Linked DNA regions of Elephas maximus indicus. The protein of the gene in region 3 interacts with the protein of the main gene of each other region in a pairwise test. Links are inferred from orthologs where the notes say so. Each region holds a gene or a part of one and is shown on either strand. Other genes may lie near its edges.

What was found.
Region 1: the proteins of CEP70 (region 3) and ZCCHC10 interact in binary tests that used the Homo sapiens proteins (3 or more experiments, as listed by UniProt). The two-hybrid records come from large-scale screens. The link is inferred for Elephas maximus indicus from reciprocal best matches to the Homo sapiens genes CEP70 and ZCCHC10.
Region 2: the proteins of CEP70 (region 3) and TAF1D interact in binary tests that used the Homo sapiens proteins (3 or more experiments, as listed by UniProt). The link is inferred for Elephas maximus indicus from reciprocal best matches to the Homo sapiens genes CEP70 and TAF1D.
Region 4: the proteins of CEP70 (region 3) and zinc finger protein 234-like interact in binary tests that used the Homo sapiens proteins (3 or more experiments, as listed by UniProt). The two-hybrid records come from large-scale screens. The link is inferred for Elephas maximus indicus from reciprocal best matches to the Homo sapiens genes CEP70 and ZNF227.

The regions. Positions count from the first base shown.
Region 1 is NC_064820.1:124,405,526-124,412,678, reverse strand, and holds the start of ZCCHC10 (zinc finger CCHC domain-containing protein 10), read right to left. Parts: upstream 3,002-7,153; 5' UTR 2,972-3,001; coding exon 2,931-2,971; intron 1-2,930.
Region 2 is NC_064825.1:27,237,884-27,245,355, reverse strand, and holds the start of TAF1D (TATA box-binding protein-associated factor RNA polymerase I subunit D), read right to left. Parts: upstream 3,011-7,472; 5' UTR 2,907-3,010; intron 2,895-2,906; exon of another isoform or gene 2,585-2,894; intron 758-2,584; 5' UTR 679-757; coding exon 614-678; intron 1-613. Other genes in the region: C7H11orf54 (ester hydrolase C11orf54 homolog), read left to right, coding at 7,362-7,416. UniProt on the Homo sapiens protein: Component of the transcription factor SL1/TIF-IB complex, which is involved in the assembly of the PIC (preinitiation complex) during RNA polymerase I-dependent transcription.
Region 3 is NC_064844.1:38,736,393-38,743,388, forward strand, and holds the start of CEP70 (centrosomal protein of 70 kDa), read left to right. Parts: upstream 1-3,979; 5' UTR 3,980-4,065; intron 4,066-4,166; exon of another isoform or gene 4,167-4,407; intron 4,408-6,996.
Region 4 is NC_064829.1:106,444,247-106,451,752, reverse strand, and holds the start of zinc finger protein 234-like, read left to right. Parts: upstream 1-4,482; 5' UTR 4,483-4,572; intron 4,573-7,506. UniProt on the Homo sapiens protein: May be involved in transcriptional regulation.

The DNA.
Region 1 (7,153 bases), on a different chromosome or scaffold from region 3:
GAATTCCAGAAAATCAATACAAATACAGGACAGGGGAGGCCAGACTTGATGCCAGTTCATGTGGGAAACACTTAGGGTTTTTAACTAACTGAAATCACAGCTTGGGTCAAAAGCAGGGAAGTTAGAAGGTTTTGCCTTCATAAATATTCTTTTCCTTCCAGCTCAACATAAACTTTTGGACAGACTTGAAAAGTGTAACAACTCACTTCAGGAGGTAGTGAGTTTGTCATTACTAGACGTCTTCAAGGCAAAATTAGATGGCTACTCTGGATGCTGACGAGCAAATAATGGAAACCAGTAGAGGGTTTAGTAGAAGACAGTGGATAGTGCCAAGATTCTACAATCTACTTACGTATGGGCAGATGTCATTATAATTCACAAGATGAAGTAATTTCATCCCAACTGACTTAAAGGAGCTTGATAATAAAAAGTTCCAGGAAGATATACTGAATGGGGAGTTCAAATTTAGGCTCACTTTCTTTTTTTTCTTTTATTCCTCTCCACCCTCACCCCTTGTCTATTAATCCAGAAAGTTTATTAAAGAATGAAAACAATATACTTCCTCACTTCTCATAACCCTAAAACAAAGTTTTAAACTTACTATTATGAAAGTAATATATGCCCGTTATACATAAAATGAAATCTTTTTGTTGAATATAAAATGAAAAGTAAAGGCTCCTCTCCTGCTGTCTCCACTCTTGTATATTCTCCAAACATTCCTGGACTCCCCTAGCCTATAAAGTACCTTCTTCTCTGAATCCCTGGGTAACTTAGTCTATATACGACACCATCTTTTATTATACAGCACATGTTTTCTTCCCAACACGACCAGAAGCTCCTAAAGGTAAGATTTGTTTTCTATTTCTGTGTGGCTTATGTACCAAAACCAGGCACACTCTAGAAACATTACCTTTGTTAATCTTTCTGATACTGTGAAAAACAAACGGTAATTTTCTTTGGTTGCTAAAGTCTTGTTTTTACTTCATATTTACAGTAGACATAGGCTAGTTTTGCCAATCCGGCATTCATTCACCACTTCTGACCTTCCCACCCAGCTCATCATTGGTTTATGGTAAAATGGCCAATTGTACTGGGCGACGAATGCAATCTAGGGCAATCAGGGCTTCACAATTCTCAAAAACATGGTTCAGGGTTGGTCATGTAACACAATCAAGACCAATGAGATAAAATCATTTTTGCCTTATTTGAAGGAGTTGAAGCTGAAAGGACATAAAAGGACCCTAGATACGGCAGCTATCTTGGGACCAAAGGAGAGATCCTATCCAAGTGTGGAGCCAACACCCAAAAGAGCACACTAGAGAAAGACAGGGAGATATGGGACCCTGGTGACATCACTTAGCAGTCCTATTAAGTATTATTATCACCTCATTCTTGATCTCAGAACTGTGTGACTTTGAAGTTCTCTTCAACCAAGTTTACTTCTCTAACTCCCTGAGTCTTTATCCTTACACGCTCTCCTTGAGCTCCTCATGAGAGTAGGGTCAGATGAAGAGGAAAAGAGAAAGAACAGGGATCTGAGATTAGAAATGTAAATATAAAAAGAACTATAAACAAATATATATGGTGATCTATGCATTAGAGATGTGCACACAGTGATGGCATGAAATGATGAGAGAATGAAGGGGCTGAGGTTGTTTGTGTGCATGTTGGTAGAAGGCTTTACAAGAAGGGGACATTTGGGATGGCTCCTGCATTATGTCTGCCACAAACCGCTGTAATTTTAGCTTGTTCCACTCTCTCTTGCCCATGGGCTACAATGGCCTTCTTTCAGTTCTTAAAACTAAGTTTTTCCAGCCTCAAAGCAATTATGCCATTGTCTGGATACTCTTCCCCAAGTCTGCTCATGACTGCCTCCTTTCCCTCCCTTATAATCTTTGTTCAAATTCCACCTTTTAAGAGATGCCTTTTCAGTTCACCCAATTTTAAGTGGGTTTTTTCCTCTTACACATCACACCATACCCCTTGCCATCGAGTCAATTCCAATTCACAGAGACCCTATGGGACAGAGTAGAACTGCCCCACTGGGTTTCCAAGGCTGTAAATCTTTAGGAAAGCCAACTGCCACCTCCCTCTTCCACAGAGCAAGGGTGAGTTTGAACCACCAACCTCTAGGTTAGCAGCCGAGCACTTAAGCATTGCACCACCAGGGCTCCTTTTTATCTTACTTTATTTCCTTTAAAGTTCTCATCACTAACTGTACTTACTAAATTTGTTTGGTTTATTGATTATCTCCACCACTAGAATGTAAGCTCCCTGAAAGCAGGGATTCTATCTGGAACACCTCTTTTTTTTACATTCAAATTCTTGCACAGAGCAGTAGGTACTGAATAAACGTTTGTTGACAGAGTACATGAATGGTAGAAAACCAGGGGATAGCGTGGGAGAAAAGTTGGCCTTACAGTTCTGCCGCTTGTAGGGAAGTCGATAGTGAGGGGGCAGGAAAAGTCAGCTGAGCTGAGACTTCACAGGGGGCTGAAGGGTATCTCGGCGAGAGTGGTGGAGTCCGATCAGAGCTTCAAGCCTCCCTTGGTCGTGCGTAGGGTGGTCGACTGAGTGGGCTGAGAGGCACACTCTCCGTCACGAAACCACTCAGTAACCAACTCCTGGGCGTCCCCTTCAGAGGAAACAAATGCGGCGGCTCTCCTCAAACCAACCTCTGTCCAGACCCGTGGACCTTATATAAGCGTACGTCGTCCTCCGCGAAATCGCTAGACAGTGGGCACCAAACTTAACCACCCGGGCCCGAGACCCTCGAGAGCAGGTGACGTGTAAAAAGAACGCCCACCCTCCGCCGGTCCCCAGTGGGGATGCAGAAACGGCCCCGCATCCCAGCGCCCGCTCATCAGTCGGTTGACGCGTATCTCCTCGTCTCCAGCTCACCCTGGGGCCCGAAACGGTCCCTTACTTACGCCTGTCTCCGGGCTATGAGCCGGTGCATGGGAGTCGCCATCTTAGCGCGGCTGAGAAGTGCCGCGCTGGGTCTTGGGAAACTCCTCGGAGGGGGCGGAGACTTCGAACCCCGGAGGCCGCAGACGTGGGCGGAGCCAGACGGGCCTCGAGTGTCTCTCAGGCAGCTTCCAGTTACAGAGAGTGGGTGGTGTGTGATCGCAGGTGTCTGCTGTGTGATCGCAGGTGTCTGCTGTGTGGGTCCCTGAGTTTGAGGAAGAGCGGGGAGGCCAGCTGTCGGGCCTACAAGTGGGTTTTGAAGGATGAGTACACGTATGATGCGGGGATGCGGAGGCAGGGAAGAACATTTTGGAACTACGGAACTCCATATACAAAGACAGTATGCAGTGTTCTAAAAACTAGGAGTAGCCTTGCAAGTAAACAGGAAGGGATAAGTTAACAGGTCTGTGACCATCAGTTGAAAGAATGGCTTTAACAAACCGTGAAGTGCAAGCATCTGTTAATTATTTTTATGTATTTCAGAGGGATGTTGTAAGGGCCAAATGAGACTATATAAGTGAAACTTTGTCAATTGGAAAACGATGACACAAATATTATATTTTAGCTGTACATATATTTAACATTAGATCATGGGGATATTCTCTTAAATCCACATTGTTTGAAACATAAAGTTCATATATATATATATATATCTGTGTTACTCCATATTTTTTGAATTAATTATTAGACACTTAAAATGTTTTAGGAACTGAGGATAGAGCATTGAAAAAATAAAGTCCTTGTGCACATGGAGCTTTCCACAGACAGTAAGCAAACACATGAAGACTGTCCAGTGAGCAGAAGTACAGCATTCCAAAGAAAAGTAGTTCAGTATAAGGTGGTTACAAGTGATTAGTTTTGGGAGTTGAAAGGATGCTGATGTGACCTTGGAGCACATGATATCTTACTATCTGTTGTGTGCTTCAGTTTGCTTTTTATATTCCTCAATGTATTACGGACATTTTCCCCATATCGGCACATACAAATTTAATGCATTGTTTCTATTTGTTACATTATATAGATTATTTGGAAACCCTGGTGGGGTAGTGGTTAAGTGCCATGGCTGCTAACCAAAAGGTTGACGGTTCCAATCCACAAGGCGCTCCTTGGAAACTCTACGGGGCAGTTCTACTCTGTTCTGTGGGTCTCTACGAGGTCAGAATCAAGTGAATAGCAACTGGTTTTTTTTTTTTTTAGATTGGATGTTCCACAATTTATCCAACCAGTATCCTATTATTATACAATTGGATCATTTACCGCAAAGATGGAAGGAACAGAATGAATGCTTAAATGTTTCTGTAGGGTGACTTCCTACAAGTGGAATTGCTGGATCAAAGGGTATGTACACTATTGATAGATACTAGCAGATTGCCCTTTAAATAGGTGGTAACCAAACCCATTTCCTCCCCAGAACTGAGAATAGTCAAACTTTTCCTTTTTTTTAATTGTACTTTAGATAAAGGTTTACAGAACAAACTAGCTTCTCATTAAAGAATTAGTACACATATTGTTTTGTGACATCGGTTACCAACCCCATGACATGTCAACAATCTCCTCTTCTTGACCTTGGGTCTCTGTTACAGCTTTCCTGTCCCCTCCTGCCTTCTAGTCCTTGCCTCTGGGCTGGTGTCCCCATTTAGTCTTGTTCTGTTTTATGACCCTGTATAATCTTTGGCTGAAGGGTGAACCTCAGGAGTGACTTCATTACTGAGCTAAAAAGGCATCCGGGGGACATACTCTCAGAGTTTCTTCAGTCTCTGTCAGGCCAATAAGTCTAGTCCTTTTTTGTGATTAGAATTTTGTTCTACATTTTTCTCCACCTCTGTCAGGGAACCTCTATTGTGGTCACTGTCAGAGCAGTCAGTGGTGGTAGCCGGGCACCATCTAGTTGTACTGCACTCAGTCTGGTGGAGGCTATGGCAGTTGTGCTCCATTAGTCCTTTGGACTAATCTTTTTCTTGTATCTTTGACTTTCTTCATTCTCCCTTGCTCCAGATGGGGTGAGACCAGTGGAGTATCTTAGATGGCTGCTCACAAGTTTTTAAGAGAGAATGGTCAAACTTTTAAACTTATAGCTATCTAATAAGTCATATATGTGATGGTTAATTTTTTATGTCAGCCTGGCTACACTATGGTTCTCAGTGGTTTGGCCAGATATTGGACTGGTTGCTGTTCCATAATGTAATCACTTTCTGTGATGTGATCTGATATGATCAACCAATCAGTTGGTACTGGATAAACGGATATTCTGGCAGAGCTCACTTTCTCTCTTTCTTTTGACCCTGCACTTACCTCATCACCTGGTCTGTGGATCTTGGAATGTGAGACTGCAGAAGCCTCTGGCCTGCTGCCTGGCCTATGGATTTTGGACATGCCAGCCCCACGATTACATTTGCAAATCCCTTGAAGTAAATCAATCAACTCCTCTCTCTCTCTTTCTTTATTTACAAAAATGAAACAAACCCATTGCCATCAAGTCAATCCTGACTCATAGCAACCCTATAGGACAGAATAAAACTGCCCCATAGTGTTTCTAAGGAGTGGCTGGTGGATTCCAACTGCAGACCTTTTGGTTAACAGCTGCATTCGTAACCACTGCACCACCAGATATAGATACGATATGATAGATATGTATACGATAGATATAGATATGATGTAGGTACATCTACATACATATATGGAACCCTGCTGGCGTAGTGGCTAAGAGGCCAGCTGCTAACCAAAAGGTCAGCAGTTAGAATCCATCAGCTACTCCTTGGAAACCCTTTGGGGCAGTTCTACTCTGTATTATAGGGTCACTAATAGACTTGATGGCAATGGAAGTTTTATATGTATATATACATATATATACACACATATATACATCTCATTGGTTTTGTTCCTCTAGAGAACCCAAACTAAGCCAATATATTAAGTACCTTTTGTAATTATCATTGATACAGTGTACTTCTTTCATGAATTGTCTGTTCAAATTTTTTCCTATTTTCCTGTTGAATTTTCAAATTATTTGTAGAAACTTTTAATATTATTAATAAACCCTTTATTTTATAGGTTACAAATATTTTTCCTAATTTGTCTGTTGTCTTTTTAACTTTGTGATCATTTACCATTATGGAGGATTTTTTTTTTTTTTTTTTTAGCATTGTTATATAGGCATATTTAACAGTCTTTTCCTCTATGGATTCCCAGATTTGGACCACTTTTAGAATGGCCTTTTATGTCCAAAGATTATTTATATATTTTTTGTAATTATATAATTGCAACTGTAATACAGTTTTGTTATCATGGTTTTACCTTAGTCCTAATTTTTATGTTACTGAAATACCATTTATTAAATAATCTATCACTTCTCTATTGATTTGAAATGCCATTCTTTCGTGTATTAAATACGGACAAATTTAGTCTATGCATTCTATTTTCTTCCAAAAATCTATTTGTGCCAGGACTTCTACTGTTTTAATTACCATGCTTCTATAGGATATTTTAAGGAGCCCTGGTGGCACAATGGTTAAGCACTTGGCTGTTAATTGAAACGTTGGCTGTTTAAGTCACTAGCAGCTCCTCACAAGAAAATCCTTGGCGATCTGCTTTCATAAAGATTACAGCCTGGGAAACCCTATTGGGCAGTTCTACTCTGTTTTATGGGGTTCTTTAAGTTGGAATTGACTCTACAGCAAACAACAACAGCATAGGATATTTTGATACCTGGTAAGGCAAATCCCTCTTAATATACCCTCCTTTTTCCTCAATTTTCTGTATTGCTCTTAGGCATTTATTCTTCTAAACGAGCTTTGTTCTCATATTTTCAAGTTTCCCACAAAATGTTATTAAAATCTCTTTTAGCTGTCAACAAACTTAAAAAAAAACTGCGTTACAGCAAACATGAAAAGGCAGGAGACAAAATAAGAGATACAACAAATCGAAAGGAGGAAGCAAATGACATCATTTGTGATTATTTGATTGCACACCTAGAAAGCGTATGAGAAATAACTAAAAGCTCCTAGAAAGTTCAACATAGGGGCCTGTCATGGAATGAATTGTGTCCCCCCAAAATGTGTGTCAACTTGGCTAGGCAATGATTCCCAGTATTATGTGGTTGTCTACCATTTTGTGATCTGATGTGATTATCCTATCTGTTGTAAATCCTAACCTTTATGAGGCAGGCTTAAAGGCAGTTATGTTAATG
Region 2 (7,472 bases), on a different chromosome or scaffold from region 3:
GAAGAGGCAGGGATGGGGCCAGGGTAACCTAGCCATTGAGTTCTGACCACCCTACATAAAATGGCCCACACAACTCTGGGGATTCAAACTGCCTACCTTTTGGTTAGCAGCCTGAGCTTTTAGCCACTACACCACCAGGACCCCCAACTGGGGGTGTATATGACATACCAGACAAGTATTTGATGAGAATATACTAATGCTGACGAGCCCCCACAATTCACGAAGTACTAAACACATAATTCATATACTTACGTCAGCATTCTACATTATGTGGAATATCTTAATGGGTTGATTTTTATGCAACATTCTCCACTGATGTCCATTTACTTGATATAAAAAAATGAGGCAACTTATCCAGGAAGTCAGATACTTTTGAATCAAAGTAGTTGTAATAACTCAATAAAATCACATAGATTTAATCTAATTTTGAAGGTCTGTGTAAATCAAGTTTTTCTTTCATCTTTCCTAATTTCTGAAAATTAACTCTTACCACTACTAATATCTACAACGATTTGTTTTCCTGGTAATTCGAATACAGTAAACATTAATGGAATCTACTGCTGAGATATTCCAGTTTAAAACAGTAACAGTTGATCTAAAAATGCAGACTTACCTATGATCCTCAATTTCTACAGCAGTAGCTAAATCAGATGTCATTGTGTAGCTGGGAGAATCCATTCCTTAGATAAATACTCCAAGTCCCTCAAGTCAGACTGTTTTATCCATCACCCGTTCCTTGCTTTAAGGGGATAAATTTCTGAAAATATAAATTCAGTAGATGTGATATAGCTTCCCTGAATAAACACTAAACTTCAGCACATAGATAGCAAGTATCTTAATACCGGAAATTTTGAAGTACTTTACACCATTAGCTGTGAATTTAGGCACAATCACTTGATTGAACAGGCCTTTAAAAGCTTCTCATCTAGAAAACAGTTTCACATCAAACTCTAAAAATGAGAAATTGCACTGACAGGTTCTATTCTGTCTTTCCAAATCTATTCAATGGTACAAGATACCATCCAGAAAAGTACTGTCATTCCCAGCAAAAGCATCCAACGTCATTCTAATTACCAATAAAAACTGTAATTTCACCAGGAGCCATGAGTAATATACAATTAATAGCCAAAAGGTTATTTCCCAAGATAGATAGGAACTCCTAGGAAAAACTGCCAGAAGGTAGACTGTGGTTCAATAGGCCTCAGTACACCAGGAAAAAGTCATCACCATTTACACCTGGATTCCATCACCATTTTCAACATCTGGTCTGGGACTTCACTTATGGTCTCTTAACATTAAGTAATTATGAAACCTTTTTTTGGTAAACGTTCCCATGTTGTCTTCATGCACAGAAACTGAGAATTGTGAATTTTCATTTCTTTCAATGAAAGGCTAAAACAGACTACTGAAGGAGCCCTAGTGGCGAAGTGGTTATGGTGATAACTGCTAACCAAAACATTGGCAGTGTGAAACCAGCAGTAGCTCTGCGGAATTAAGACATAGCAGTCAGCCTCCTAGAGATTTACAGGAAACCCTACTGGGTCGCTAGGAGTCAGAATCGGCTCCATGGCAGTGGGTTTTAGTGTCTTTTGTGGAGCCCTAGTGGCGCAGCCGTTAATAACTCAGCTGCTAACCAAAAGGCTGACAGTTCGAATCCACCAGCCGCTCCTTGGAAACTCAACGAGGCAGTTCTACTGTCCTATAGGATTGTTATGAATCAGAATCGACTGGATTCGAAATGAGTTTGATTTGGTTTTTGTCATTTTACAATACTTCACATATAATGCAATTGAAAAACTGAAAGATGATTTCCTAAGCTCATCTTCCTTACAGGATGCCATCATTCTATTTTTGTATTATTTTAGCACATAGGAGTCCCTGGGTGACAAACTCTCAAGTGCTCTACTAGCCAAAAGGATAGTGGGAGAAACCCACCCAGAGGAGCCTGAAAACCACAGGGAGCACAGTTCTACTCTGAACACATGGGGTCTCAGATGGCAACAAAGAACAAGTCTTCAGCGTACTTGGAAATCGACAAACTGCGTAACGATGCAATAAATTGTCATGATAAAACAGCAAAATGTTCCAAGTCTAGGGAAACAATAAGTGCTGCAATCTAGAAACTTGTGAAACTGCCCAACGGACCCATGCGGTAATCTCAAAACAGAATTTTTAAAGATTTTTTAAATGCAAAATTCTAAAACCGCTAATAAGCTATGAAGTACCAACTGCTCCAAATCAAAACCCCAAAAATTTGGATCCAATGGACCCTGACAGTATACCTGGAATTAAAACACACACACACACACACACACCGAGCACTCACCAAAATAAAGCTAATTTAAGTCACTTTATCAGAACCTGCTCAACTAGCATTCGTACTTGTCTTCCCATCCAGGGATTTTGCGGTTCTTCGAAGCCACGTGGCAAGCTAGAGCGCTCGGCCAGATCTAACACAGAGCACCCCCACGACCACTCACAACCGGGTGACCTTCGGCTAGGCCTCCGGGAACACCTAACCGCACGCCAAAAACTGGCGTCAGAAACATGCCGGCGTTTGGCATACATCTTAACAGCTACATACCAGACCAACGAAACAGGCCCACAGGCGATAACCGCGATTGTTCGGGACTCTGTCCGGCCATTAGGCCCGGGGAAGCCCTCCACCCTCAGGGCCTGATTTCCAGCGCTCGATTTCCCCAAACTACGCGGTGGTCCCGAGGAAAACTAGATCAGCGGCCTCTCCCCCGCCCACCAGACTGGTAGGAAGCAAACGCCCGTAAGCACTTCAGCCCAGGCCTCGGGCCAGAAGCCTCGGGTTGACGCGGCGGAAGTGTCCCTGAAGTCTGTACCTAGCACCCAGCAGCCTCCCGCTCCAACACGGCACCGCGCAGAAAACGGCCTACCTCTCTCCAACCGTTCGGAGGAAAGGGAAGAGCTATCGCGCGACCCGCCTAAGAGTGGGGCCGAAGTCTCGCGATACAACTGGACACCCGGGCGACAGCGAGAGGTGGGAGGAGATGAGACTCCCCGGAGCCATTTAGATCAACGCCAGGGGAGGTGTGATAAGAAGTAGGCGGAGCCTGAGGTCGTGACGTCAGGAGGTGGGGTTGTCGGAGGGAACGGTGAAGATTAAGTTGAGGCTTCCTAGACCGAATTAGGTAAGTGCAGTAGCCAAAAATATTTTGACAAACGGCAAAAACAAATTGTGGGCGAAAGGAGCGGAATGGATGTGAACTGCGAGGAAAAAAACCGTGAATTGTTTCCGGTGGTATCGCATTCGCCCTGCTGTCGTCTGACTTTCTAAAGCCTGGTACCGGATGGTGTGTGTTTTTCTTACATGCCAAGCTGTAGAATTCTAGGTTGGCAGATGAGTTTGGGTTTCTGTTCAGGAATGTGAAGCATCCCTTTTTGGCAGTTTTTGACATAATACTTTTGCCTTCAAATATCTGTTCTGTGTTAAAATATTGGGAAAGGTTCATGGTTTGACCGTTATCGAAATGTGTAACCTTTGTCCTGGACTCCAGTCTTACACCATAGCACACCCAGTTTCCCTCCAGACACCTTCAGATTCGTTTTGTTAGCCTCACCATTCCTTCTAAACTAAGGGTCAGCCTCCCAGGAGTTGGTTAATATACCACGAGTTACCCGCGGAGGAATTTTTTTTTTTTTGCAGTTCCCTCACCCTCCTCCCCTGAAAAAAAAAGTTCCTTGACCGGTTGCGGAGTGTTTAAGGTACAGCAGCTAAACTAGTTGATTTTTTTTCCACAAAGTAGTTAAAAAAAGAATGAGTCGGTTTGATTATTTTCCGCTTTCTTGTATAAGCAGTGATGTTGTCTAGTCTCCGTTTATAGTCAGCGTCATCCCAGGATTAGAAAGAACTTTAAGGGTAATCTGGTCTCTTTACCCCATTTGGCGCCAGATATCGAACAGCTTCAGGTATAGAAAGTCTGATTCTGTAGGCAGCCCACTGCATTTGACCCACGGAGTCTATGCATGTCTTATACACTGCCCTGTTCAAGGAGCATACCCGGCTATAGAATTTATGAGGCCCAGTACAAAATGAAAATGCAGGGTCCCGTGTTCAAAAAGCAGGGAAAAAGCTTTTCCTTCCGTGGTCTCTCTCGACTTGTTATGTTTTTTATTTGCTGTGTAATGCCATTCTAAGTAAAGAAAAATAAAAATTTAAAATTGTTGGCATGAATTTTATCATTTATCTTTATATTGTGCAATGCCAGTATTAAATACAAATCTAATAACATTTAACTCTTAGGCAGAATCACTGAAACGTCACAAAATTTGTATTTCATAGCTCATACAAATGTATGTTTTGTTCTAGTAAGAAATACCTTAGAACAGTAGAAACGCTGTGTAAAGCTAACTCAACTGTTTTTATTTCAGTTCTTGATACTTGCACGTTCTGCCAACACTCTGGAAGCCAAAGATTTTGAGGCTTACTGAATTCCCATGCATCTTGGGTCCATGATTCCAACTCTTATCAATGCTATTTATCAGAGTAGAACTGCACCTTAGGGTTTCCAAGAATGTAAATCTTTACAAAAGCAAATAGCCACATCTTTCTCTGGAGAAGCAGCTGGTGGATTCAAACTGCTCACCTTTTGGTTAGCAGCTGAACACTTAACTAGGGATCCTCTCTGCTCATAAAAACCAAAATCAAACCCTTTCCAATCTAGTGTATTCTGACTATAGTAAGCCTCTAGGGCAGAGCAGAACTGCCTTATAGGGTTTCCAAGGAGTGGCTGGTGGATTTGAACTGCAGACCTTTTGGTTAGCAGCCAAGCTCTTAACCACTGTACCATCAGGGCTCTTCTCTGCTGCTTATAAAAAAACAGGACATCACAAATGCTGTCTGCAAAAGTGGTGGCAAGGACCCATGGTGGGCATGCATGTCGCAGTGCTCTCCTCTGCTCCTGTGCATACCCTGTTGTCTCTTTGGAGTTTATTTGCAAAACCCAAGTTCGAAGACAAAATTATTTAAAAAAAAAAAATTTCAAGATGGTGACAGCAGAACATTTAACCAAGTGCCTTTCTGAGTGCATGGCCCTGTGTGACTGCACTAGTTGCACACCAGTGAAGCTGGCCCTGTACCAGAGCTTTATGAGTCTGGTGTGTTGTGAATGTAATGCCCGCTGTATGCTACAAAAAAAAAAACAAAAAACCCAAACCTGTTGCTGCAGAGTGAATTCCAACTCATAGTGACCCTATAGGACAGAATGGAACTGTCTCATAGGGTTTCCGAGGAGTGGCTGATGGATTCGAATTGCCAGTCTTTTGATTAGCAGCCAAGTGCTTAACCACTGTGCCACCAGGGCCCCCAATGTATGCTAGGTACTTGGAATACAGATATGAGAAACATAATCCTATCTTCAGATCACAAACTATGGAAAAGAGAGCAAGCAAACAGATGTACATAGATAATACTTTGAGTGCTATAGGATAACTCTGTACAGATTATTCCTTATTTTCAGCTGAAATGTATCAGTCCTTCACCAGTTAACCAGCGTGGAACAGTGTCATGAGTTCTGGTTTTATAGTGGGCTAGACCTGGAATTCTGTTTCTGCCATTTGCCAACTTAGTGAACTTAGATAAATAATACATCCTCTCTGACCTATTTTCTCTTTTGTGAAATGAGAAACATAATACCTCCCTGTCATGGTCGTGAGAGGTTTTGAGAGAATGTCTGGTATAAGGCTGCGCTCAGTAAATGGTAGCTTGGTTGCCATAGTTGGTCTACCCTTTTGGGGTGTTCTTTCTGCAACCTGACTTACCCAACTGCCTCCTATTTCTATTCCCTATTCTAAACTCAATTTCTGGGCCATTAACTCCAACGAATTGTATTGGGAGGGTAAATATTGTTTGCCTACATCTGCTCCAAGGCTTTCCTCTTGGAGCCTTTATGAATTTATATTAAGACCTTTCTAACCCCCTAGCTCTCATCACTCAAACCCTAACAACCCCCTGCCCTCACACACATGTACACACACATACTACTACCACACTGCCTTCTGTGCTAACTGTTGGCCTGTCTGAAGTTGTACATTTCTAAATCAATCATTCAGGCTGTAGCCTTGCAGGGTTGGACTTTGTTTGGGTGGGGAAATAAAAAACTGACCTTCTAGAGTTAGTAAAGGGTATAAAATTAGGATTATATTTGAATTTTCATTTGAGTAATTTCTACTGCAAACAAAGATATTGAGTGCTTTTATTATCCTCATAAATAAAAGCTGGTAAATGATAAAGCACTAAGTGCTAAATGTATGCAGTACTATGTTTATAGAAAATACTTGTCAAAAATGATCAAAACTAGAAACCCAGTTTCTAGGAAACCTGTGAATCTTTGGGGAATTAAAAAAAAAATTTTTTTTTTTTTCAAGTGATGTTGGGGGGCCAACCTTTCACTTGCTAAGTAAGCTTGTTAAAGTCAGAGGCTAATCCAGTTAATGAAGTGTTTTATTAACAATTTTAACAAGAACAACAGTGCTCTTAGAAACTCCCATAAGGGTTTTTTTTTCTTATTCCTTGTCGTGACTGGCCTAGTGTAGGATTACCCGCCCACTTCATATTGCGTCTGTTGTTTGTGGAGTCTTTTTTGGCTTCATTTTATCTCCCTCTGCTGGTACACCTCCTCATCATGTGAACCCTTGAGGTAAGGTATTAATCGCTGTGTATGTTTTTATGTATGCCTATTTATTGGTACATGCACTTAGCATATATTTTTAAAATACCAAATTATAATTGGTTAAAGATTATCAGAATAATTGAACAAAAACCTGCTTACTATAAAACGTATATTTGTAAATGAAAGTAAAAATTTGAATTTCAAAAGCTGATTATTTCTAGAAGTTTCCATCTCTTTTAGTACTTTAGATTTTCTTTTGTAAAAGTGATACTCTAAGGAACTGAATTTTTAACCTAAATGTCAAATGTAGAGTAGAACACACCAATCATCTATTATAGAAATATTTGCCAGTACCTTTTGCTTCAGGACCTGTATTCCTTACACCAACCATTAAATCGCATGTCAATCTTTGTGTATGACTAAAAAAAATGAATCACATGTGATCTCTTGGTTTGGAGTTTCCCCTTCCCAGTCTGTTTAAAATGACTTAAAATATCAGTATTAATAAAGAGTTGCTTGTGAGAATAAAGTGTTAAGAGATATGGTTGCCTTTCTGTATGAACAGAAACCTAAATGCCCTTTTGTCCTCTTTTAATAACTAAACTCTGAGTGTTCAATTCCAGATCAGCAGCTGTTCATGTTTGGTGCACTGTGGACTCTCGTGAGAATTAGCCTGCAGTAGCTTTATCTGTACAACCTTACACCTAAAGAAGAAAGAAAATGGCTTGTGTCGAGTCTCCTTTTCATGTGCCAAGCCTGGAGGAGCTGGCTGGAGGTAAATACAATAGAAACTCGTTGTCCTTTTCCGTGTCTATTCTGTACTATTTCTAT
Region 3 (6,996 bases):
TGGAGTAAAGAAAATTTTTCACATGATCCCACCATATAGGGTGTTTCTCATTAACAAATATAACAAATAATGTTTAATGTTTAGCAAAAAAATGCCCCAAATTAACTCTGCCTTCTGTTTTGGGCTTCTTTCTTATCCCACAAGTTTCACTGTTTTGTGATTTCTGTTACTTTTATACCCTCTAAAAATCTCAGCACTTGAAAAATTAATTGTGAATTCTTAGATATGACAATGAAAGCATGAGCAACAAAAGACAAAATAAATTGAGCTTTATCAAAATTAAAAACTTTTGGGCACCAAAGGATTTTATTAAGAACATGTAGAGACAACTTAGAGAATGGTAGAAAATATTTGGTAACCATGTAGCTGATGAGGTTTTAATATCCAGAATATATAAAGAACTCTACAACTCAACAATAAGAGAACAAACAACCCAATTAAAGAATGGGCAAAGTACTTAAACAGACATTTCCCCAAAGAATATATTCAAATGGCCAATAAGCATGTGAAAAGATGCTCAACATCATCAGTCATTAAGGAAATCTCATCAAAACCACAACGGGATACCACTTCACAGGCACTAGGATGGCTATTATCAGAAAAACGACAATAACAAGCATTGGTGAGGATGTGGAGAAACTGAACGCTCATTCATCGTTAGTGGGAATATAAAATGGTATAGCTGCTGTGGAAAAGTTTGGCGGTTACTCAAAAAAGTAAAATACAGAATTACCATATGACCCAGCAACTCCATTCCTAAGTATACACCCAAAAAAATCGTAAGGGGGAAAAGAAACAGATGCTCGTATACCAGTGTTCATAATAACCAAAAGGTGGAAACAACCGAAGTGTCCATCAATAGATGAAGAAACAAAATGTGATATAGCCATACAATGGAATATATACAGAAATGAAGTAGATGATACAACATGGATGAACCTTAAAAACTTCTGCTGAGTGAAATAAGTCAGACACAAAAGGACAAATCTGTCTGATTCCACTTGTATGAAATATCTAGAGTAGACAAACACAAAAGTTCATTATTGGTAAGGAGGGGTTGTGAGGAGGGTAAGTGTGGAGTTATGGCTTAAGGGGTACTCGGTTCCTGTGGAGGGTGGTGAAAAACATTTAGAAATGGATAGTGGTGATGACTGTACAACATGGTGAACAAAATTAATGTCACCGAATTATATGCTTAAACTAGTTAAAGTGACAAGTGTTTTGTTACATGTATTTTTCAAATAATTTTTTAAAAATTAATTGGAATTGCTCTCCTGGCTCAGAATCAGGGGAGAACATGCAGAACACACTCTTAATAGCCATAAATGCAAGTGATTAACAGACTGACATCTGTGTTTTGACCTTTTATCAATACACATAAAATATGCCCACTGGTGAATCTTCTAGCGAACTTAAAAAAAAAAAACACTGAGATTTGGGCTAATGGTCTGAAACAAAGTAAAATTAAATATGAATATGAAGAATTATTCTAAAATCTCAGCAGAGACTAAAGCACAGAAATTGGTATTTACTTACACAAGCTTTAAAATACTTTAGGCCATCTACTGATTTTTCGTTTAAGAGTATCCTCAGAAAAAAGACAGCTTACTTCCTCCATAACTAGGGATTCTCTGGATGGTCTGTAAAATATGATCCTGAGCAAAACATAATCCACTTATTCACAAATAGTTACTAAATGCCTACTAAATGACCTGAAAGCACTCCAAAGCCAACTACATGCTTAAAAAATTCTCTATGGTTCTGTATGATTTTCAGCAGCTATGCCTGCTTCTCTCTTCTCTTATGCCTGCTTTGGAAACCCTGGTGGCATAGTGGTTAAGTGCTACGGCTGCTAACCAAAGCGTTGGCAGTTTAAATCCACCAGGCGCTCCTTGGAAACTCTATGGGGCAGCTTTACTCTGTCCTGTAGGGTCACTATGAGTCGGAATCGACTCGATGGCACTGGGTTCGGTTTTTTTTTTTTTTTCGGTTTTTTTTTTTTTTTAAAGCTACCGCTGCTGACCAAACCGTCAGCAGCTGGGACCTGCCAGGCATTCGTTCCTTGGAAACTCTATGTGGCAGTTCTACCCTGTCCTATAAGGTCGCTATCTTATATAACTGGCATATATACATTTAATTTTCAGGATTATGTGACAAAACTGGAAATGATAAATACAAAAAAATCCCTCTATTTTAGCACAGAGATTTTAAAATGTAAATGAAGAGGGAGAAAAAACAAATTTCATTATTTTCACTGATGGGGAAGATATCACCTGAAACTTTTTACATGTCTTCAGAGAAAGTCTTTTTTTTTTAGTATCTAGTGATTTACCCATCAGCACAATCTTTTAAAATTCCTTCCTTAGCAACCTAACACTGTTTATTTAACTACCCCAGCCTGAATTCTACCTTGACTTGGGGTTAATTGTACTGGGGACTGCAGTGATTGGTTCAAACTAAACCTAAGTCAGTGTTGTTTAAAGCAGGAGGAGAAGGAGTAATTACTGAGATAACTCAGAGTTGCCTTTTCAGCAAAAGCTCCAGCTAAGGCCAGTCATAAGGCAAGTCACCCATTCAACAAACAGGTGCTGCTCACATCCTGTGCCTGGCCTTTAGCAAAGCACTGAGTCCTCTAGCAAAGTCTGTCAAGTAGCTCTCTGCACCAGATACTCCCAAATGCTACTAGAGGCATGGATACACGAATAACTTTCTTGAGGTATGGCCATAAGACTCATGGATTCATTCCACACAAATAATCATGCTCAAAAATGCAGACAGAACGATACCCAACGAACTGCTTTTTCTAATAGCTAAAAACTGAAAACCATCTGTATGTTCACCATCAGGAAATCTATTACGTAAATTACAGTCCAGCCCATGCCAGGCGCCAGGGACGGATGTGGTGGTGAACTTGGCACACATGAACGCATAGCCTTGTGCAGCGAATAAAAAGAATGTAGAAAAACATTTATAGCCGTGGGTACATACGCATGATGTATCGTTAAGCAAAGGAAGCCAAGTTACAGCACTTACAAGATCCAGGTTCTGCAAAATAAACCCTGCTCATGCCTTTTTTTTTTTTTTTTTTTCATGCTTACAGGGTAAAATGGACTGAAAGGAAATAAACCTAAATGTTAACAGGAGTTGTTCGGGGGAGCAGTGATTCGGTTGATTTGCTTTCTTCTTTGTGCTTTTCTATTATATTTTTTTGACGGCAACAAATACTATTTCTACAGTCTGAGTAAAAAGCCCGAGGCGCCGGGCCTGGCTGGGTACCGACGCCACACACCCGCCCTCTGCCAGCCGGAAGCCTGAAGCCGAGGGCCGCCCAGGGCCTTCGCCGGGCCGACGGGAAACGTCCAGAACACACCCCGCGCGGCCCGCGCCTCACCCCGCAGGGTCCCAAGGTCCGCACAGACATTGCCCGCGGCCTCAGCCGCCAGGAGATGGCTGCCACCGCCCACGCTGCCGTGGCTCAGCGGGTTGCGGGGACGCCTGGGGCTGCCCACAGGGGCTTCCAGGGTCCCGGGCGGGGGCGCCCGGGCTGTGGAGGGTGGGCCAGGCCCTCCGCGGTCCCGCCCAGGCCGCGGGTCTCACCTGTGCGCGGTGGATGCCGGAGGCCCTTGGGGGCTCCGCGCTAGGCACTGGGTTGGTTCCGACACGGCCACTCGAACGGCGTGAACTTGCTCCGTTCGCCGAGAACCGGACGCAGCCGGCGCGGACACTGAAAGCTGGGCAGGCGCAAGTCCCAAACGCGCGGCTGTTTGTCGCGCATCAGGTCTCCCGGGGTGCTCGGCGCAGGTCTCCCGGGGCGCTCGGCGCAGGCCACCACCTTCTCACCGCACGACCGATCCAACCCCCGCCCGCCGCCTCAGCGGGAGATTTCACGTTCTCTGCACAGACCGTCCTCAATCCGCACGCGAAACATTACCTAGTCCTGCACTGCATCCCCTCATGCAACCAACAAATGCTAGTGAGAGCCAGCGGTGTGCCAGGCTCTGGGCTGGACGCTAGGGACAATCTGGTGGGCAAAATCTGATCCAGTGCCTGCTCTGAAGTCTTAGGGTAGGTAGACCTGATCCTGGCATTCTCTCCTTGAAATCCTTATGGACTCTGGTTTGCTTCTTTAGTTTCAAGACTAAAACTCCAGAAGGTAGGCAGGAGGCCTCATAGATGATCTAGGCCCTGCCTACTTGGATTCATTTAGAAAGGCAAATGCTTCCAACTCCTTCTCACCCAGGGCCTCTGCAAATGCTCCCTCCCCTGCCTGGGATACTCCTCCACACTGCTTCTTTTAGTTAACTTCCATTTTGTGTTGAGATTACTCTTCAGATAGCATTTTTTAAAGAAAACTATTCTAGTTTTTAAGACTTGAAGCACCTGTGATTCTTCTCGGTCGTTTTCAAGGTATGTAATGGTTTGTGTAATGTTTGCTTAACGTATGACTTATTCCTAGACTGAGGTCCAGGACACTAGGAACCATGGCTGTTTGATTCCCGCTCTTATGCTGCCCACATCTGCACAGTGCAGAGTCATAGGGGGAAAAAAACCCCACCAAACCAGTGCCCTGGGGTCAACGCTGACTCAGGCAACCCCATGTGTGTCAGGGTAGATTTGTGCTCCATAGGGTTTTCAGTGGTTGATTTTTTGAAAGTAGATTGCCTGGTTTTTCTTTCAAGGCATCTATGGGTAGACCCAGACCTCCAACCTTTCAGTTAGTAGCCCAGCAGTTTTATGGTTTGCCCCACCCAGGGACTCCAGACTCAGTCCAAAAAAAACCAAACCTGTTGCTCTTGAGTTGATTTTAACCCTGTAATACAGAGTACAGCTGCCGCATAGGGTTTCCAAAGAGGGGCTGGTGGTTTCAAACTGCCAACCTTTTGGTTAGCAGCCAAGTTCTTAACCACTGCACCACCACAGCACCTCAAAGTAGACTCTGATAAATACTTGTTGAATAAGTGCATGAAAAGCAGTCCTGAGTAATGTTTCAGGAGGAGACATTGTCGCCTGCAGAGAGTGAGGAAGGTTGTTGACAGGCCATCTGAGGAGATTAGTGAGTGGTCCCTGTGGACAGTGGGCCCAGCAATAGACCAGAGACATGTGAAGGGATTCTGGAAAGGTTGTGAGAGCCCAGCAGATTACAAGCATACTGTGCTTGGCCCCATTGTGTAATTTCTTCTTGCAGCTTGGTGTTAATGGAGAGGATTGTTTCATCTTTGGGGTTGGCAGGGTGAACGGAGAGTTGAGAGACATTAGGGATCAACCTATTGTCTAGGTTACCACTGTCCAGGGCTCCTTGCCCAGGGAATAAGAAGTAGGTGGAAAATTCAACTCAAACTGGAATATTCCCCCAATTCCAGGTATATAATGTAATAATGACTGAATAATGACTGAATTCTTAAGCAAATTATGTTACAGGGATTCTGCTTATTCTGTCGATTCCTTATTTGCTGTCCGTATTGAAAGTTCCCTGAGAACAAGGACTTTTCATATTTGTATTTCCCTGTTGAAAGAATGGATTGGGAGAAAGGTAAAAGGCTCCAGAGTGAAAATTTCCAAGAGATGGGACAAGGCTGGTTTAAGATGCCTCCCTAATTTCCTTTTCTGAGAAACAATCCTGAGTTGTTGGGCTAGGACAAGGAAACCCTGGTCAAGGAAAAACCCAAAGGTACTGTTTAATTAAACATCACATTTTCTTAGAAAACCTGAGGATCTGGATATCACTTACAAGACCAATAGGTTATAATTTATTGACAAGTGCCTTAGATATCGCTGTCTTTAGTTCTCCTAACAGCCCAGAGATTATATTTACCCCCATTTTGTAGGCAGACCCAAAGCCCTTTAGAAGTTGTAGGCCCAGGCCTGTGGAATTTGAAAGGTTCATGTTAACAGGGCCTGTTATTAGGAAAGTACTGTGCTTGAAGAAAAATCTAGGCCTAGCCCAAGAAGCCTGGAGGAGTTCTTTGCCCAGGGACACCAGAGTACAGCCAGGTTCTGCTCACCAGCAAGGTGCATCGATGTCTGCATTCAAAATAGGCAAGGCAACCTGTGATTCCTCAGCTGGCTTGTCATGTGCCACTGTTTCTTCTTTGGGTATAGCTTCTAGGATACCTGGAACTGGGGGAATATTCCAGTTTGAGTTGAATTTTCCACCTACATCTTATTCCCTGGGCAAGGAGCCCTGGACAGTGGTAAAGTACTCAGTTGCTAATTGAAAAGTTGTCAGTGTGAATCCACCAGCAGCTCTGCAGGAGAAAGATGTGACAATCTGCTTCTGTAAAAATTACAGGCTTAGAAACCCTATGGGGCAGTTCTGTTCTGTCCTATAGGGTCGCTATGAGTTAGAATCAACTTGATGGCAACAGGTTTTTGGTTTATTCCTTTGGCCCAGGACACCTGAGGTAGGAGTAGTCACTGATTACTTGACAGGACTGTTATAGAAAGAAAAAAAGTCTCAATAAAGCCATTGTGAGATTATTGAACTCAAGTATAAAGTTTACTCATTTAGGCCAATCCTGCTTTTGACTTTTCCCAATATTAGTTTTCCAGGAAGTGCATAGATGCTGCTCTAACCTCCTACATTGCCCCACAACCAACTTGCCCATAGACACTAGAGACTTATTTTAAGAGAAAAGCCAAAAACACTCTTATTCACGATAGTCTGTTATCACAGGACCTCCTTTTGAAAAGAGAATTGTTGATGGATTGATTTTTCTGAACTCATTTTTTAAACAGCATGATCGGAGACCAAAATAAAAGGGAAATGTTACAAACATCTGATAGCTACAGACTTAAAATTTTCCACGTGCCCTTCCAGCACTAGCCCCACATGATTATTGTTAAAGGAGGCAGCATCAGTGCTTTAGAAACAAGCCCAGGGTGAAGTATTCTGGCTGCTGGGCCAGCCTCAGAGGGCAGTGTGTCAGAGCCTTTGCCAGTGACCACAGTCTGCTGCTGCTAGCCAGGCTGCTGCTGCATCTCTCCCCATGTATACAA
Region 4 (7,506 bases), on a different chromosome or scaffold from region 3:
TGAGTCTCTGCATTTCCATGAAGGCTTTGATAGGATTGGATTCTAATTGCTGTATATTTTTTTTTAATGAAAGCTTTTTACGTATGGTCTATGCTGAAATTGAAAATTTCATCAGATTTATTCACTGTTGGTACGGGACTGACATTTTCATGCTTTCTCTGTTGGTGGTAGTAAAAGCATGGTTTTGTATAGGAGTATACATCAGAATGTGCAATATATAGCTCTGATCTGGGAATCTGTGATCAAAATTTATGATTAAGAGATTAAATCATTGAAAACAAAAGTGCCACATCAGTGATGCCCCTGACTTTTTAAAACGGAAATAAAGTGTTCATTAATAGGAATTTGACTTTTGATATATTCCTGTAATAATATGAAACCATTAAAATGAGGGTATATTGTTGTTAGTTGCTGTCAAGTTGATTCTTACTCTTGGCACTCCCATGTATGCAGAGTAAAACTGCTCTGTAGGTTTTTCAAGGCTGTGACCTTTCAGAAGCAAATCTCAAGGCCTTTTAAGGCATCTCTAGGTGGGTTTGAACCTCCAACCTTTTGATTAGTATTCCAGCACTTACCCATTTGCACCACCCTGGGGCTCCACTGGAAACCCTGGTGGCGTAATGGTTAAGTGCTACAGCTGCTAACCAAAGGGTCGGCAGTTCAAATCTGCCACGTGCTCCTTGGAAACTCTATGGGGCAGTTCTACTCTGTCCTATAGGGTCGCTGTGAGTCAGAATTGACGGCACTGGGTTTGTTTTTTTGGGTTTGGGACTCCATTTAACAGATAAAGGACTAATATTATTAATATATGAAGAAAAATTCAGAATTTGAAGGTGGAAAGAACAAACCTCAATAGAAAAGTGAGCAACAAATTGGAGAGATGGTTGACAAAAACATGTATTAATTGCCCTTGAAATATGAAAAAATGTTGCACTTCACTCAAAATAAATGCAAACTAAAGCTACATTGAGGTACCATTTACTACATTGAGGTACCATTTCTTACCATTCTGTTGGCAAACTTGGCAAAAAGCTACTCTCACACATTGCCAGTGGGAATGCAAACCAATATGGAGGGAAATTTGAGAAGATGCAAAAAAGTACATATGTATATACTATTTGACTCTGCAATTCTAATTTTATGAATTTATCCTTAAGATGTATCTTCAGCAAAGAGAAAAGATAAATTTACAAGGTTGTTTATTGCAGCATTGTTTGTAATGAGAAAATGTTGGAAGTAAATGCCTATAGAGAGAACCACACAGTGGAGTATTATGCAGTTGTAAAAAGAATGTACTTAGATGAAGTGATTTGTAGGATATACTGTTAAGTGAAAAAAGCATGGTAATTTTGTAAAGGAAAATAAAATCTACATATGTCTGAATCTTTTCTGAAGGAAGAACTATGGGAATAATAAACCAGGAAATAGTGAAATTGGTTACGTACAGTGGTTAAGTTAAATGGAGGAAGTGCTGGAGGAGTGAGAAGGGACTGGAAGCATGGAGTGACCCTAATGCTCAGCTCTTGAGCAGGTATAATTGCTTGGAGATGTTGTACAATATGTTAACGTCTGAAACTGTTTTCACCTCCAAATGGGTATAATAATAACCATGAAAAGTTTAAAAGAATTAACATGGCTTTACCATGAGGCCACTGTTGCCGTTTGGCCCTCTCAAATAGTGTTTTTTTTTTTTTTTTGCCAAACGAGTAGTAGTACCACAGGGTCCGGAGTAGGGGTTGGTACCTTCTGTGTTGCTTAATGCCCTTCTGAAGCCTTTCTACCTTGCCACTTCTTTAAACGCCCTGTGTTAGCCTCATACCATCATATTATACTGGCTATTATCTTAATTCAGTTAACTCCTGCCCTCTAAGAAGAGCATTCCCGTTAACTCCTTGGCAGTTTTATCTCCTGGCTCAATATTCCTTTTGCAACAATACTCCTGCCATAGTTAAAGGTATCTATGTCGTGACTATAAAATACTTTTTGCTCGAGGATTCAGGGAAAGGTATGCACGTTCTCAGCGTAGTGAAGCACGTTACCCCCCAGGAGGTCGAGATTTTGGGCTTTGTTCCTTTCGGCATTGTGGGAAGTGTAGTCCAGGAACTCTGTATTAGCAGAAGCATTTCCTCCCCCGAAAGGATGCGGTTACTGACGTTCCTCGCCCTCGGGCATCCTGGGAAGTGTAGTTAGGCAGCTCGGCGGAGTTGGGGCGTTTCCTCTCAGACAAGCAGTTCTGAGGAATTCTGGGAAACGTATTCCAGAAGCTCTGGAGTGGCAGGCGCTTCTGCCCGAGCAGTGAAGTTCCTGCCATCTTCCCTTCATACTGGTGCTTCAGTCTTGGCCTCGCGACTCTTTCGAAGTTCCTGGATCTGCGCTGGGACACGCAACGACCCGGACACAGACTTAAGGGAAAAGAAGTGGTGGCGCAAGCGGAGGTTTGAGAAACCAGGGTGGCGGTTTACGTTCCCTTGGCGTAGCCGCTTGCGTTTCGAGCGGTTCGCGCGGCAAGTGTTGGTAAGGGGTTCGGGTCGTTAGTCCCCTGGTTTGAGGGTCTTCCCGGCTTTCCGCTCCCCGCAGCGGTCTCCATCCAACTTAATCCGCGCTGCCACCACCTCACGGCATAGCGGGCGAGTTATTTAATCTTTTCGTGTCCTCGGTTGCTTTTCTGTAAAAAGAGGATATTACTATTCGTAATAGAATTGTTTCGAGAATTAAAAGAGGTGGTACAAATAGAAGTCTTAGAACAGTTCGTGGCTCATGGTAAGTGGTGGTATCCGTTGTTAGTACTATTTGATTTCCCGAATAGCGCTCAGTTCTCTGAAACCTGTGAAGCCAGAGCTTCAACTACAGTCGCCCTGGCGCTTCTCTGTGATCCCTGCAGGAAGCTGATCTTCAGGAATGATCTGACCCCTTTTTTAGAAAGGATGGGTTGCTTCTAGCTGGTACGGCGTGAGGAGAATTAACTGTGGTTTATCGGGGACAGCGAGGCAACCATTTCACAGAATTCTTTCCTCCCTAGCCCCGATTTCTCAAAAAGGACTGCAGGAGATGGAAAACTGATTCCTTGGCTACTGGCAAAGAGCCTCACGTGAGTAGGACTTGGTGTTCTAGAGATTTTCACATCTGTTAATGGGGAAGGAACAACTCAGAAAAGTAGGGTGAGAATGGTTGCGCAACTGGAAGAACGTAATCATTGTCCCTAAATGGTATATATAGAAAAGGTTGAATTGGTGTGTTTTGCTGTGTATATTCTCAACAACAACAAGATGAATCAAATTTTTAAAAGTTGAAAAAAAGATTTTCACATAAATCGTAGAATGTATGTGACATACACGTCCGCATGGGTAAGGATAAAAATTAAGCTTTAATTGCTAAGTTCGTTCTAATGGTTTTATAAAAATTAATACATTTATGCCACACCGTGGCTATGTGAAGGAGCCTTGGTGACACAGTGATTAAGCGCTCGGCTGCTAACCGAAAGGTCAGAGGTTCGAACTCACCAGCCTCTCTGTCGGAGAAAGATCTGGCAGGCTGCTTCCATAAAGATTTACAACCTTGGATACCCTACAGGGTTGCTTTAAGTCAGAATGAACTCAAAGGCAGTGGGTTTGGTTTTGGGGTTGGTGGCTGTGTGAGGTGGGTATTGCTTTTTTTCCTATTTTAAGGACGAGGAGATAAGAGTTATTTACCCATAGTCACCAAACTAGTAGGAGGAGAGCTGGGATAGGAACCAAGACCTTCTGAGTTCAGAGCCCGAATTCATAATTTCTGTGATATATACCCCACGAGCCACAGAAAACAGGAATGAAGTTAATTGTGGGAATCTTGTGAGTTTTTAAGGAACGTTCTCAAATATTTCATTACAAAAAATATATTCTATTTTTATAGAATTAAATCATTGTGGACAGTTCAGAAAATGCAGAGAAAAAGGTTTTTAATTACAACTCCAGGATGAAAAGATAGCAACTGTAAAGCTTGAAGTACGTTTTTCCGTAGTGGTTCTTTGTGTATTTACATATAAATGGTTCACAAAGGTTGTATCATATTTTCTATAATATTTTTATGCTTATCTTTTTAAATTATGGGTATTTCTAAACACTGCCAAGAAAGGAATAGACTAATGAATGCTATATATTGTCATCATTATCATCCTTATTATTATTATTACTATTTTCTGATTTTTTTTTAAATTATTGTATTTTAGGTGAAAGATTACAGCACAAATTAGTTTCTCATTCAAAAACATATGCAAATTGTTTTGTGACATGGTTGCAATCCCCTCAATGTGTCAGCATTGTCCCCCGTTCCCTTTCCACCTCGGGTTCCCCGTGTCAATTTGTCCAGTTTTCCTGGCCCTTCCTGCTTTATCTTTGCTTTTGGCCAGGTGTTGCTCATTTGGTCTCCTGTACTTGATTGAACTAAGAAGCACTTTCTTCACCTGTGTTACCGTTTGTTTTATAGGCCTGTCAAATCTTTGACTGAAAGGTGGACTTCGGGAGTGGCTTCAGTTCTGAGTTAGCAGGGTATCCAGTGACCATTGTCTGAGGAGTTCCACCAGTCTCTGTCAAGACAGTAAGTCTGGTCTTTTTTTGTGAATTTGTAGTTCGTTCTACATTTTTCTCCTGCTCTGTCCGATACCCTGTATTGCGATCCCTGTCAGAGTGGCCTGTGGTGGTAGCTGGGCACCATTTTGTTTTTCTGGGTTCAGGCTAGTGGAGGCTATGGTTCATGTGGTCCATTAGACCTTTGGAGTGATATTTTCCTTATGTCTTTGGTTTTCATCGTTCTTTGCTCCAGACAGGATGGGGCCAATAGATGTATCTTAGATGGCTACTCACAAGCTTTTAAGACCCCAGACACTACTCAACCAACTAGGATGTAGAACATTTTCTTTATGAACTGTGTTTTGTCATTTAAACTAGATGTACCCTGAGACTGTGTTCCCCAGTCCTCAAAGTGTTTGCATGTGTCTGGAAAGCTTCTATGACTTTGCCTTTGTCAAGTTATACTGACTTCCCCTATATTGTGTTTTGTCTTTCCCATCCTCAAAATTAACACTTGTCTACTGTCTAGTTAGTGGTTTCCCCTCTCCACCTCCCCATAACCATCAAAGATTGTTTATTTTTTTCCTATGTGTAAACCTTTTCTTGAGTTTTTATAATAGTGATCTCATATGATTTTTGTCCTTTTGGGATTGACTTATTTTACTCAACATAATGCCCTTAAGATTCATCTATGTTGTGAAATGTTTCATGGATTCATTACTGTTCTTTATTTTTACGTAGTATTCCGTTGTGTTTATGTACCATAATTTATTTATCCATTTGTCTCTTGATGGGCACTTAGGTTGTTTCCATCTTTTTGCTGTTGTAAATAATGCTGCAGTAAACATGGATGTGCATGTGTCTAATTGTGTGATGGCTCTTATTTCTCTGGGATATATTCCTAGGAGTGGGATTGCTGGATCATATGGTATTTCCATATTGTATTCCATAGTGGTTGTACCATTTGCATTCCCACCAACAGTGCATAAGAGTTCCAGTCTCTCTGCAACCTCTCCAACATTTGTTATTTTCTGTTTTTTTTTTTTTTTGTGCCAGCAATGTTGGGGTGAGATGATATCTGTGGTTTTGACTTGCATTTCTCTAATGGCTAATGATCATGAGCATTTTCTCCTGTGTCTGTTAGCTACCTGAATGTCTTCTTTGATGAAGTATCTGTTCACATCTTTTGTCCATTTTTTAACTGGATTATTTATCTTTTTGTTGTTGGGGTGTTGAAGTAGTTTATAGATTTTAGAGATTAGACCCTTGTAGGATATGTCATAGCCAAAATTTTTTTCCCAGTCTGTAGGTTCCCTTATGACTCTTTTGGTGAAGTCTTTTGATGAGCATAAGTTTTTAATTTTTAGGAGCTCCCAGTCATCTAGTTTATCTTTTGGTGTTTACACATTGTTAGTTATGATTTGTATTGCATTTATGTCTTATATTAGGGCCCCTAGCATTGTCCCTATTTTTTCTTCCATGATCTTTATTGCTTTATATTTAGATCTTTGAACCATTTTGACTTAGTTTTTGTATATGGTATGTGGTGTGGGTCGTGTTGCATTTTTTTATAGTTGGATATCCAGTTTTGCCAGCACCATTTGTTAAAAAGAATATCTTTTCCCCATCTAATGGATTTTGATCCTTTGTCAAAGATCAACTGACCATAGGTGGATGGGTCTACATCTGGGTTCTCAATTCTGTTCCATTGGTCTTTGTGTCTGTTGTTGTAGCAGTACCAGACTGTTTGACTACTGTGGCTGTATAATAGGTTCTGAGATCAGGTAGTGTGAGGCTTCATACTCTTTTCTTTTTCTTCAGTAATGCTTTGCTTGTCCAGGGCCTCATTCCTTTCCATATAAAGTTAGTGATGAATTTTTCCATCTTGCAAGAATGCTGTTGGTATTTGGATTGGGATTACATTATATTTGTAGATTGTTTTGGGTAGATTCAACATTTTCACAATGTGGAGTCTTCCTATCCATGAGCATGGTGTGTTTTTCCATTTATGTAGGTCTCTTGGTTTCTCACAGTAGTGTTTTGTAGTTTTATGGTTAGATTTATTCCTAAGTATTTGGTCTTTTTAGGGGCTATTACAAATGGTATTGTTTTCCTGATTTCCTTTTCGAAGCTCTCTTTGTTGGTGTATAGGAATCCAATTGATTTTTGTATGTTGATCTTGTGTCCTGCTGCTCTGCTGAATCTTTCCTTTAGTTCCAGGAGTTTTCTTATGGAATCTTTGGGGTTCCGTATAGTATCATATCACCTATGAATAGGGGTAGTTTTATTTTTTCCTTTCCCATTTGGATGCCCTTTGTTTCTTTTTCTTCCCTCATTGCTGTAGCTAGGACTTCCAGTGCAGTGTTAAATAGGAGTGGTGATAAAGGGCATCCTTGTCTTGTTCCCTTTCTCAGGGTGAACACTTGCAGCTTCACACTGTTGAGAATGATGTTGGCTGTTGGTTTTGTGTAGATGCCTTTTATTATGTTGAGGAATTTCCCTTCTATTCCTATTTTATCCAGAGATTTTGTCAGGAATGGATGTTGGACTTTATCAGATGCCTTTTCTGCATTGATTGAGATGATCATGTGATTCTTTTTGTTATATTTATGTGGTGGATTATGTTTTGTAACGTTTTGTTTTTATATAATTTCAGACTTACAGAAAAGTTGTGAAAATACTTTTAAAGAATATTCATATATTCTTTACCCAGATTGAGAAGCTGTTTACATTTCACTTCTTTGCTTTGTCATTGACCATTAGCCAAGTATGATCAAAAATATGCCTGAAACCAAAGACAAGTTATTTTAAATGTCTACAGCAAGAAAGCCCACATACCAGGGGAAATCATGGGGTGTCTTGTTAAGAGTCAGTTGGAAGGGATGGGTTATAGGGTTTTAGCATAGCATATTAGATGCTTTCAGATGTTATATTGTGGATTTATCTATTATGTAACAGTAGA